2 linked regions of the Rattus norvegicus genome follow. The protein of the gene in region 2 interacts with the protein of the main gene of each other region in a pairwise test. Links are inferred from orthologs where the notes say so. Each region holds a gene or a part of one and is shown on either strand. Other genes may lie near its edges. The genes, in order: Apoc1 and Apoa1.

Evidence for each region.
Region 1: the proteins of Apoa1 (region 2) and Apoc1 interact in a two-hybrid assay, tested with the Homo sapiens proteins (2 studies listed by BioGRID, with this or other methods). The link is inferred for Rattus norvegicus from reciprocal best matches to the Homo sapiens genes APOA1 and APOC1.

Annotation. Positions count from the first base shown.
Region 1 is NC_086019.1:88,475,465-88,479,759, reverse strand, and holds the start of Apoc1 (apolipoprotein C-I precursor), read left to right. Parts: upstream 1-1,454; 5' UTR 1,455-1,484; intron 1,485-1,539; exon of another isoform or gene 1,540-1,604; 5' UTR 1,605-1,622; coding exon 1,623-1,680; intron 1,681-2,023; coding exon 2,024-2,171; intron 2,172-4,295. UniProt on the Homo sapiens protein: Inhibitor of lipoprotein binding to the low density lipoprotein (LDL) receptor, LDL receptor-related protein, and very low density lipoprotein (VLDL) receptor.
Region 2 is NC_086026.1:55,422,470-55,426,235, reverse strand, and holds Apoa1 (apolipoprotein A-I preproprotein), read right to left. Parts: upstream 2,292-3,766; 5' UTR 2,267-2,291; intron 2,070-2,266; 5' UTR 2,051-2,069; coding exon 2,008-2,050; intron 1,858-2,007; coding exon 1,704-1,857; intron 1,155-1,703; coding exon 572-1,154; 3' UTR 507-571; downstream 1-506. UniProt on the Homo sapiens protein: Participates in the reverse transport of cholesterol from tissues to the liver for excretion by promoting cholesterol efflux from tissues and by acting as a cofactor for the lecithin cholesterol acyltransferase (LCAT).

The sequences.
Region 1 (4,295 bases), on a different chromosome or scaffold from region 2:
AACCAGGATTGTGGAGGGAGCCATGGAGTACTGGGCTGATCCTACTGAAAATCAGAGAGTCATGGGGGAGCCCGGTGGTAAGTGGATCATACATTTAATCCCAGCAGGCAGACCTCTGAGTTCAAGACCAGCCTGACGTACAGACAGGACAGCCAGGGCTACACAGAGAAACCCTATCTTGACAAAACAAGAAAGAAAAAAAATCAGAGTTGAACGACTAGTAATTTAACGACCTTAGCTGTGCTCCCATTACCCTACCTGTGGTACAGGAAGCTCTCGTTGCTAAGAGAAAGGACATAGGAAGCACCGGGCAGAGTAAGGGGGACATCTGTTACATTATTCAGATGGGTGCTTGAGGATTGAGCAGGACTCCTTTCAAGAAGCAAGAGGGTCAGGCCTGGCGCCCACAGGGACTGGAAGCTGTGAGCTGGCCCCAGAGATGTTGCAACCCGGCCAGGGTCGAATCTGTTCTACCCCTTTCACAACCATCCCCCTGTTGTGCCCCCATCCTCCCACCCCCAGCTGACACGTGGGTTGCAGGGGCACCAGGCCAGCCAACCTAGAGTCTGGGCCTCTTAGCCACCAGCTGCCAGGGGGTCACTGGCGGTCATTGACGGCTCTGGAGGGAGGGAAGGGCCTTGGACTGTAGCCTGAGAGAAAGGATGTGGTGGAGGGAGGGGGCGGGGAAGCAGGCTTCAGATCTGGAGGGGCCTAGGAGGCCCAACAAGAGCTAATAGTGTTGGGGAGGGGAGTGAGGGTTGTGCTGGTTCAGGGGCACTGTGGAGCTTTGCAAGCTGAGAGGCTCTGCAGTTTTGACTAGCTAAAGAGGCAACTTGTAAAGAAGGGAGATGACGGCTGTCAAAGACCCTAGAGAGCATCAAAGGAGGTCTGAGGGTTTCCAGATACAAAGGCACTGGAGGTGAAGGAAACCAGAGCCCAGCATCCAGGACAGAGAGTGTGAGCTGAGGCTTCTGGACAAGGACAGGGTAGAGAAGAGCTAACCTGAGGGTGCAGTGTGAGCTGGGGTAAGATTTGGGGGCTTGGGGGGAGTTGTTTGTAAGACACACACCCCGCCAAGGTGAACAACCTCAGAGAGAGTGTGAGTAGGTAGAGCAGCCAAGGCTGGGTGAAGATCAGTGAGATTTGGAAGTGAGGGTGCTGACCAGTGAGGAGCCTTAGGCCTAAACAAAATGTTTGGACCGGGATCTGGCTCCCAGTATCCACCAGTATGGCAGAACAGGGTGGGTCGGTTGTGTTGGTGCCTATAATCCCAGCACTCACTAGAGAGGCAGAAGCAGGAGGATCACAAATTCCAGGCCAGCCAAAAATTCTGTTAATAAAAATAAAAAAGGAGGTGGGCACAGAGACAAGGGGGAGGCTCAAGGGGAGGGCGATCAACCTGCTCCGCCCCCTCCCCAACCCGTTAAACCTCTGTGCAGGATCCTCCCACCCCTGCGGGCCTCCTGAGAGAACCTTAGATCCAGGTTAGTGCCTGGGAAAGTGTTCCCCACTTCCCACAGATAAGGGATTGGGGTGGTGGGATCATAGTGGTGGGAGGTGGTGGGTACTAGTGATGCCCCCTATCCGCGCGCGTCTGCCTCCAGGGTGCCCCTCCAGCCAGGATGAGGCTCTTCATCGCACTTCCTGTCCTGATCGTGGTCGTAGCCATGGCTTTGGAAGGTAAGAGGCTTGGAAGTCTGAAGTTGGTCTTGGGCCTGTGGCCCAGGCTTAGAGGACTCTTGAGGGAGAGCTCTGAGGTCCCTTTCTATGTCACCATTCCACTACCGCTCTCCAATCATCCCCCAACCCATTGGCCAGGTGCCTTATTTTTCTATCAAGGTGGGTGCTGCAGGAGGCAAGTCTGTCCAGAAAAGACCTTAGTAACCAATGACCCTTTGGGATTGGCTAATCTTCCTAGAAGGGGTGGCGCGTAAAAACAAGGAGGTGGGCAGTGCAGTAAAAATAAGTGTCCAATACTCTTCCCCCAATGCTAACGGGTTTGCTTACAACCATCTCGCTGCAGGCCCAGCCCCTGCCCAGGCGGCCCCTGACTTTTCCAGCGCAATGGAGAGCTTACCGGATAAACTAAAAGAGTTTGGGAACACTTTGGAAGATAAGGCCCGGGCAGCCATTGAGCATATCAAACAGAAGGAAATTATGATCAAGACTCGGTTAGGACCTTTCAGGGCACGGGCGGATGTTCTCTTTCTTTCTGTGTGTGTGTGTGTGTGTGTGTGTGTGTGTGTGTGTGTGTGTGTGTGTGTCCCGTCCCAACACTGACACAATGTGGAAACAGCAGCAGAGTGATTGACGCCTAGTAACACCTAGTTGTCTGTCTGTTAGAGATGATTGTAGTGACTGGTTAGGGTAGACCTTGTCCCTTCCCTGTGTACTCTTGAGACAGGACATGACTTTGATCCCCTGGGACAGAGAAAGAATGTAGGAGAGTTGGGGCAGGGTCACAGCCAGAGTTGTGCAGGCCGCAGCTCTGCAGTTTAGACTGGCCAAAGAGAGATTAGGGCTGGCTAAGATCCCAGCAGCCAGGCTGTGGTGGTGCACGCCTTTAATCCCAGCACTGGAAAGGCAGAGGCAGGCAGATCTCTTGAGTTTGAGGCCAGCCTGGTCTACAGAGCTAGGTTTAGGATAGCCAGGGCTATACAGAGAAACCCTGTCTCAAACAAACAAACAAACAAACAAACAAAAAAGGCCCCAGCAAATTGGGAGGCTAAGGAAAAGAATCAGGAGTTTGAGACTAGCCTGGGTTACAGGGCAAGCCTCTGACTAAAAATGAGGAACAAAAAAATAACGAAAAAGCAGGAGGTGAAGACAGACACCCCAAGAGGCGCTTGGTATGTTGTAAACAGGTTGGTTAGCCAATTTGGCAAGTAGACAAGTTAAAGGTCTGATTTTGATTATGAATATCCAGCCAGACTTAAACTTGGCCAGGAAGTGCAAAGGCCCTGGGGCGGGAAGATCTGTAGATAAGAGAGAATGGCCTTCTAGACATCGGCTTAGAACTCGGGCCAAGGACAGGCCAGGATGAGTGGAGACAGCTTGGGCAAGCACAGGCTAGAGAAGGAGAGGGTGGGAAGCAGGAGATGGCAAGGCTTCTGAGGTGCAGCTGCACATGTTTTTAATCTCAGCAAGAAAGAAAAACAAACAAGCTTTAAAAAAAAACTTTTAAAAAAAGGAGAAGGAGGAGGGAGACTGAGAAAAGATCAAAGATCATTCAGTGCCTAAAATGCCTGTGAGTATCTGAAGTTGATACCCAGAATCTACATCTTAAAAGTTAGTCACAGGGTTCGGTTAAGAGAGCACGTGCTGCTCTTGCAGAGGACCAGGGTTCTGTGTCTCCCCCACACTCACGCACCTATGTCAGCACAGCTCACTGTGGCCTGTAACTCCAGCTCCAAGGACTCCAGTCCCCTCTCCTGGACCTGCAGGCACCAGAGCACAGATACAGGAACAAAACAAGACTTCAAGAGAATGTATAAGTGCCAGCCAGTGGTGGTGCACGCCTTTAACCCAGCACCCCGGAGGCGGAGGCAGAGGCAGGCGGATCTCTGAGTTCAAGGATACAGAGTTAGTTAGAGGTAGCCAGGGCTATGCAGAGAAACCCTGTGTCAAAACAAAACAAAATCGTGAGTGAGAGAAGTATGGTGCTGCATGCTTTTTTTTTTTTTTTTTTTTTTGGTTCTTTTTTTCGGAGCTGGGGACCGAACCCAGGGCCTTGCGCTTCCTAGGTAAGCGCTCTACCACTGAGCTAAATCCCCAGCCCCGGTGCTGCATGCTTTTAACCCCACTGATGGGGAGGACAGAGAGAACCCTGGCTTCAGCTAGGACAATCAGATGGACCCTGGGGTAAGCTAGCCAGCTGGCTGGCTATGCTAGGAGCCTGGATCAGGGACATACCTGAGGAAGACCTGAGGTTGTCCTTCATCCTCTATAGTCACCTGCTAGCTACCTCCCCACAGTGGCTGGCTTTGAAAGCCAGGTCAAGATGAAGTTTTTTGAGTTTTTGTTTCACAGTGCCCCATCTGGGCTGGGGATGTCACTCAGTGGGTAGAGCGCTTGCCTTGAGTGCTCCAAACCCCATAGTTTGGTCCCCAACACCAGCATTTGAGGGATGCAGATAGGAGGATTGGAAGTTCAAGGTCATCATCGGTCATCATCCTTAGCTACATATCAAGGTTAAGGCTAGCCTGAGCTATATGAGACCCTGTCTCTAAAACCCCACACACAAATTCTTTGCTCTGTGTGAGGGAACTTACCAGAGGTTTTCATCCCACAGACAG
Region 2 (3,766 bases):
TGCAGCCCTGAGGCATTCACAGCCCGCCAGTTTCTGGAGGTGTGTGTGTGGGGGGAGGAGGGGTAAAAGGGAATTGTTTGCTGAGAGGTTTGGGGTGAGTGATTGAGAGCCCGTTAGGAATCCTGGCTCCAGGGAGTGGAAGGGGCTCCCATCCTCTACCCCGCGGACTTCCATCCTTCCCCCAAACACTTCTAGCACAAGAAACCAGTCCTCTCAAAGCCAGTCTAATTTCCAGCCACTCCTAACCTGGTTCCAGCACTAGTGATCTGGGCCTCCGTGGGGCCCTTTGGGGTCTCCTTGTTGTTTTGCCTGGCTATCATTTCCCTCTGAGCCTTTCTTAGGAAGGGATTGTGTCTCATACTCTAAACCAGCCAGGTGCCCAGCTTGAGTGAGCTTGAAGAGCTGAGTAGCCCCGTACAAAGGAACCCTCACCGCAGCACCATGTTTCCATATCCCTTGATGTCCCCTTAGCGTCCTCCCTATGTCACCCAAAGAAAGAAGTCATTCCACTTTGGAAACGTTTATTGTAAGAAAGCCAATTCAGGGGTGGGGAGTGGTGACGGGCGCCTCACTAAGCGTTCAGCTTCTTTTTGGCCTCATCGATCATACTCATGATTTTGGCCTTCCAGGCTTCCAGCACCGGCATCAGGCCCTGGCCCAGGTCATCCAGCGCGGGTTTGGCTTTCTCACCAAGTGTCTTCAGGTGGTCGCTGGCCTTGGTATGATACTCGATCAGGGTAGGGTGGTTCTTGATCTCGGTCAGGCGCTGGGCCAGGTTCTCGCGCATCTGATCGCTGTAGAGCCCAAACTTTGCGCGCAGCGCGTCTGCATTCACACGCATGCGGTCTCGAAACTCCTCGGCCACAACCTTTAGATGCCTTTGCATCTCCTTCGCGTTTTTGTGAAGCTCGGTGCCCAGAGGCTCCAGCTTCTGGCGGTAGGCCTCGACCTCCTCGTTCCACTTCTCCTGGAATTCATCCAGGTGGGGCTGCATCTTCTGTTTCACATTCTCCAGGTCCTTGTTCATCTCGTTTCTCAGCCAATCTGTTTCTTTCTCCAGGTTAGCCCAGAACTCCTGAGTCACTGGGCCTAGCTGTTCCTGTAGGCGACCAACAGTTGAACCCAGAGTGTCCCAGTTGTCCAGGAGATTCAGGCTAGAGGGGAAGAGAGCAGCTGAGAGATGACCCCAGGCATCCTGCACTGCCCCTGGTCTGCAGATCCATGCACATGATACCTGGGGTCAGGCCTAGGTGCCACCTGTTCCAATAGTAGTTGCTATGCTCCTAGTTTCCCTGAACTCTATAACTCCCTATAACTCCCTTCCTCCCTTCCCATCCCTCTGTACACATGGCCTGAGGCACCAAGATCACAGATGTGGTTGGTGCCAGTTGCAAGGCCAGTCCCATTTTTGTTGTTGTTGTTGGTTTTGGTTTTTTGTCTTTTTTTTTTTTTTTTTGTGCTGTCTGACCAGTACTGGGGGTTACCAAGGAAAAGGGATTTTGAATCCACAGGCTGGTTACCCTACAACCAGATGAATCCCATCTCTAGTCCTCCCATTGGAATCCTCCATGGTGCCCAGCTGGTAGGAAAGCAGGTGAAGGTCTAGCCAGCTCAGTTACAGGATCTTCTTACAGGGTTCCTCTGCCCACCCTGGATGGGCAGCCCTTGCCCTGCTCCAGGACCCACACTAGGTCCTTCCTTACTTCAGCTGTTTGCCCAAAGTGGAGGATTCAAACTGGGACACATAGTCTCTGCCGCTGTCCTTGACTGCATCCACATACACAGTGGCGAAATCCTTCACCCTGTCCCATTGGGACTGGGGCTCATCTTGCTGCCAGAACTCCCAAGCTTGGCAACCTGAGGATGGAGAGGAGACCCATGTTAGGTCAACTCTGGGCTGGGGCCTGAGCTGACATGTCAGACTTGGAGCCTTGGAGGAGAGCAGTGGGAATTCTGTTCTCTGTGCCCAGGGAGGGAGTTAGTCCATGGAGACCAAGAGGCACCCACCTGTCAGGAAGACCAGGGCCACAGCCAACACTGCAGCTTTCATCCTGAAGGATGTGGGCGACCTGGAGAAGAAGAAGAAGAATGGCTGCACTGAAGGGAGGTGCTGCCATGGAGAGGTGCCACACACATTCAACCCAGTAGAAGAACTATCTGGAGTGGGGACAGATCCCAGATATCCATGGTATTGCTTTGGACAGTGGGGCATCCACTGGGAGGCATGAGGGAACTAGAGTAGCCTAGGGTAGGTAGCAGCACTTACCTCCCCCGGAGCTCTCCAACAGTCTGGGTGTCCAGGTCTTCTTCCCTGACCTATATATGTGTGTGGGCAGGGCCTGGGCTGGGAGACTGATAAGCTCAGGCTGGCCCTGTCACTGCTTACTTTTGCTGGCGATGTGGAACTTAGAGTTCAAGGATCAGCTCTGTTCCCGAGGCTAGGCAAACAGAGTGGGCAAACAGGAAGCTGCGGGGGCTGCAGAGCTGGGATCAAGGGTTCAGGTGGGGGCAGCGGGGAGTAGCTGCAGACTCCAAGGGTCCCCAGGGGGTAAGGCAGTTGCCCCATCCTGCGGTATATGTGTTCTTTTAGTTAGTCTCATGTAGTCCACTCCTGGGCTCCTCTGTGTTGCTAGTGCCCTGAACCTGGAGCAGGGTAGGAAGAGTGAGGAATTTTGGGCTCCTGAACTCACATCCCCGCCTCAAAGTTTCGTTGCATTCCAAGAGGTTCCCCCTTTCGCTTCACCCTGGTCTCCCGAGTTTGGGGATTCATCTCTCCAGATGTCACATCCCCAGCCTCCCAACCCTAAATCCAATAACAACCGAGGCATCAGGTAATTGACTAGGTGAAATGCAGGGGGCTCAGGCCCCCAGGCTGAGGGTGAAGACACCTCTGATGATTCAGAGGAAATGACAGAGGCCAACATGGAGTTGTCAGCTCCTTCCTGCTCTCCCTCCCAACCTCCCTCCTCTGTCCCTTTTGGAGACAAGGTCTTTCTGTGAAGCTCAAGCCTACCTCCAACTCAAGATAACCCTGCTTCATCCTTCCAAGTGCTAGAATGTGCCACAAGCCTAGCTTTAAAATATGCATGCCTGGTGTCTGGCTGGGGATGGAAACCTCGAAAATGCTAGTCAAGGAGTCTATGATTGATCTTTTTTTATCCAGACCTTAGAGTTGCCAATGTTTGTTTTTAAAGATTCATTTATTTTATGTACACGAGTGCTCTGCCGGAGGTTGAAATCAGATCCCATTGCAGATGGTTGTGAGCCACCCTGTGGTTGCGGCAACTGAACTCAGGACCTTTGGAAGAGCAGCCCTAACCTCAGTCTTAACCACTGAGCCATCTCTCCAGCCCTAGTTGCCAATGTTTTTGTTATGTGTAGAAGTTATTACTCAGCCTCCCTTCCAGAGACAACCTTACCATATACCATGACCACTAAAAGGGGTCATGTAATCAGTGAGGATATGTCCTCCCAGAACGGTGAGGGTCTAGGCTCACTCCCCAGGATAGGAGAGCAGGAGAGCTGGGTACGGTGGGCTGAGTATGGCGGCCCATGTCTTCAATCCTTGTACTTGGGAGGCCAGAGGATGGAGGGTTCAGAACCACAGCCTTGGCCATAGAGCAAGTTTTTTTTTTTTGGTTCTTTTTTTTCCGGAGCTGGGGACCAAACCCAGGGCCTTGCGCTTCCTAGGCAAGCGCTCTACCACTGAGCTAAATCCCCAACCCCTATAGAGCAAGTTTGAGGTCAGCCTACATGAGACTATCTA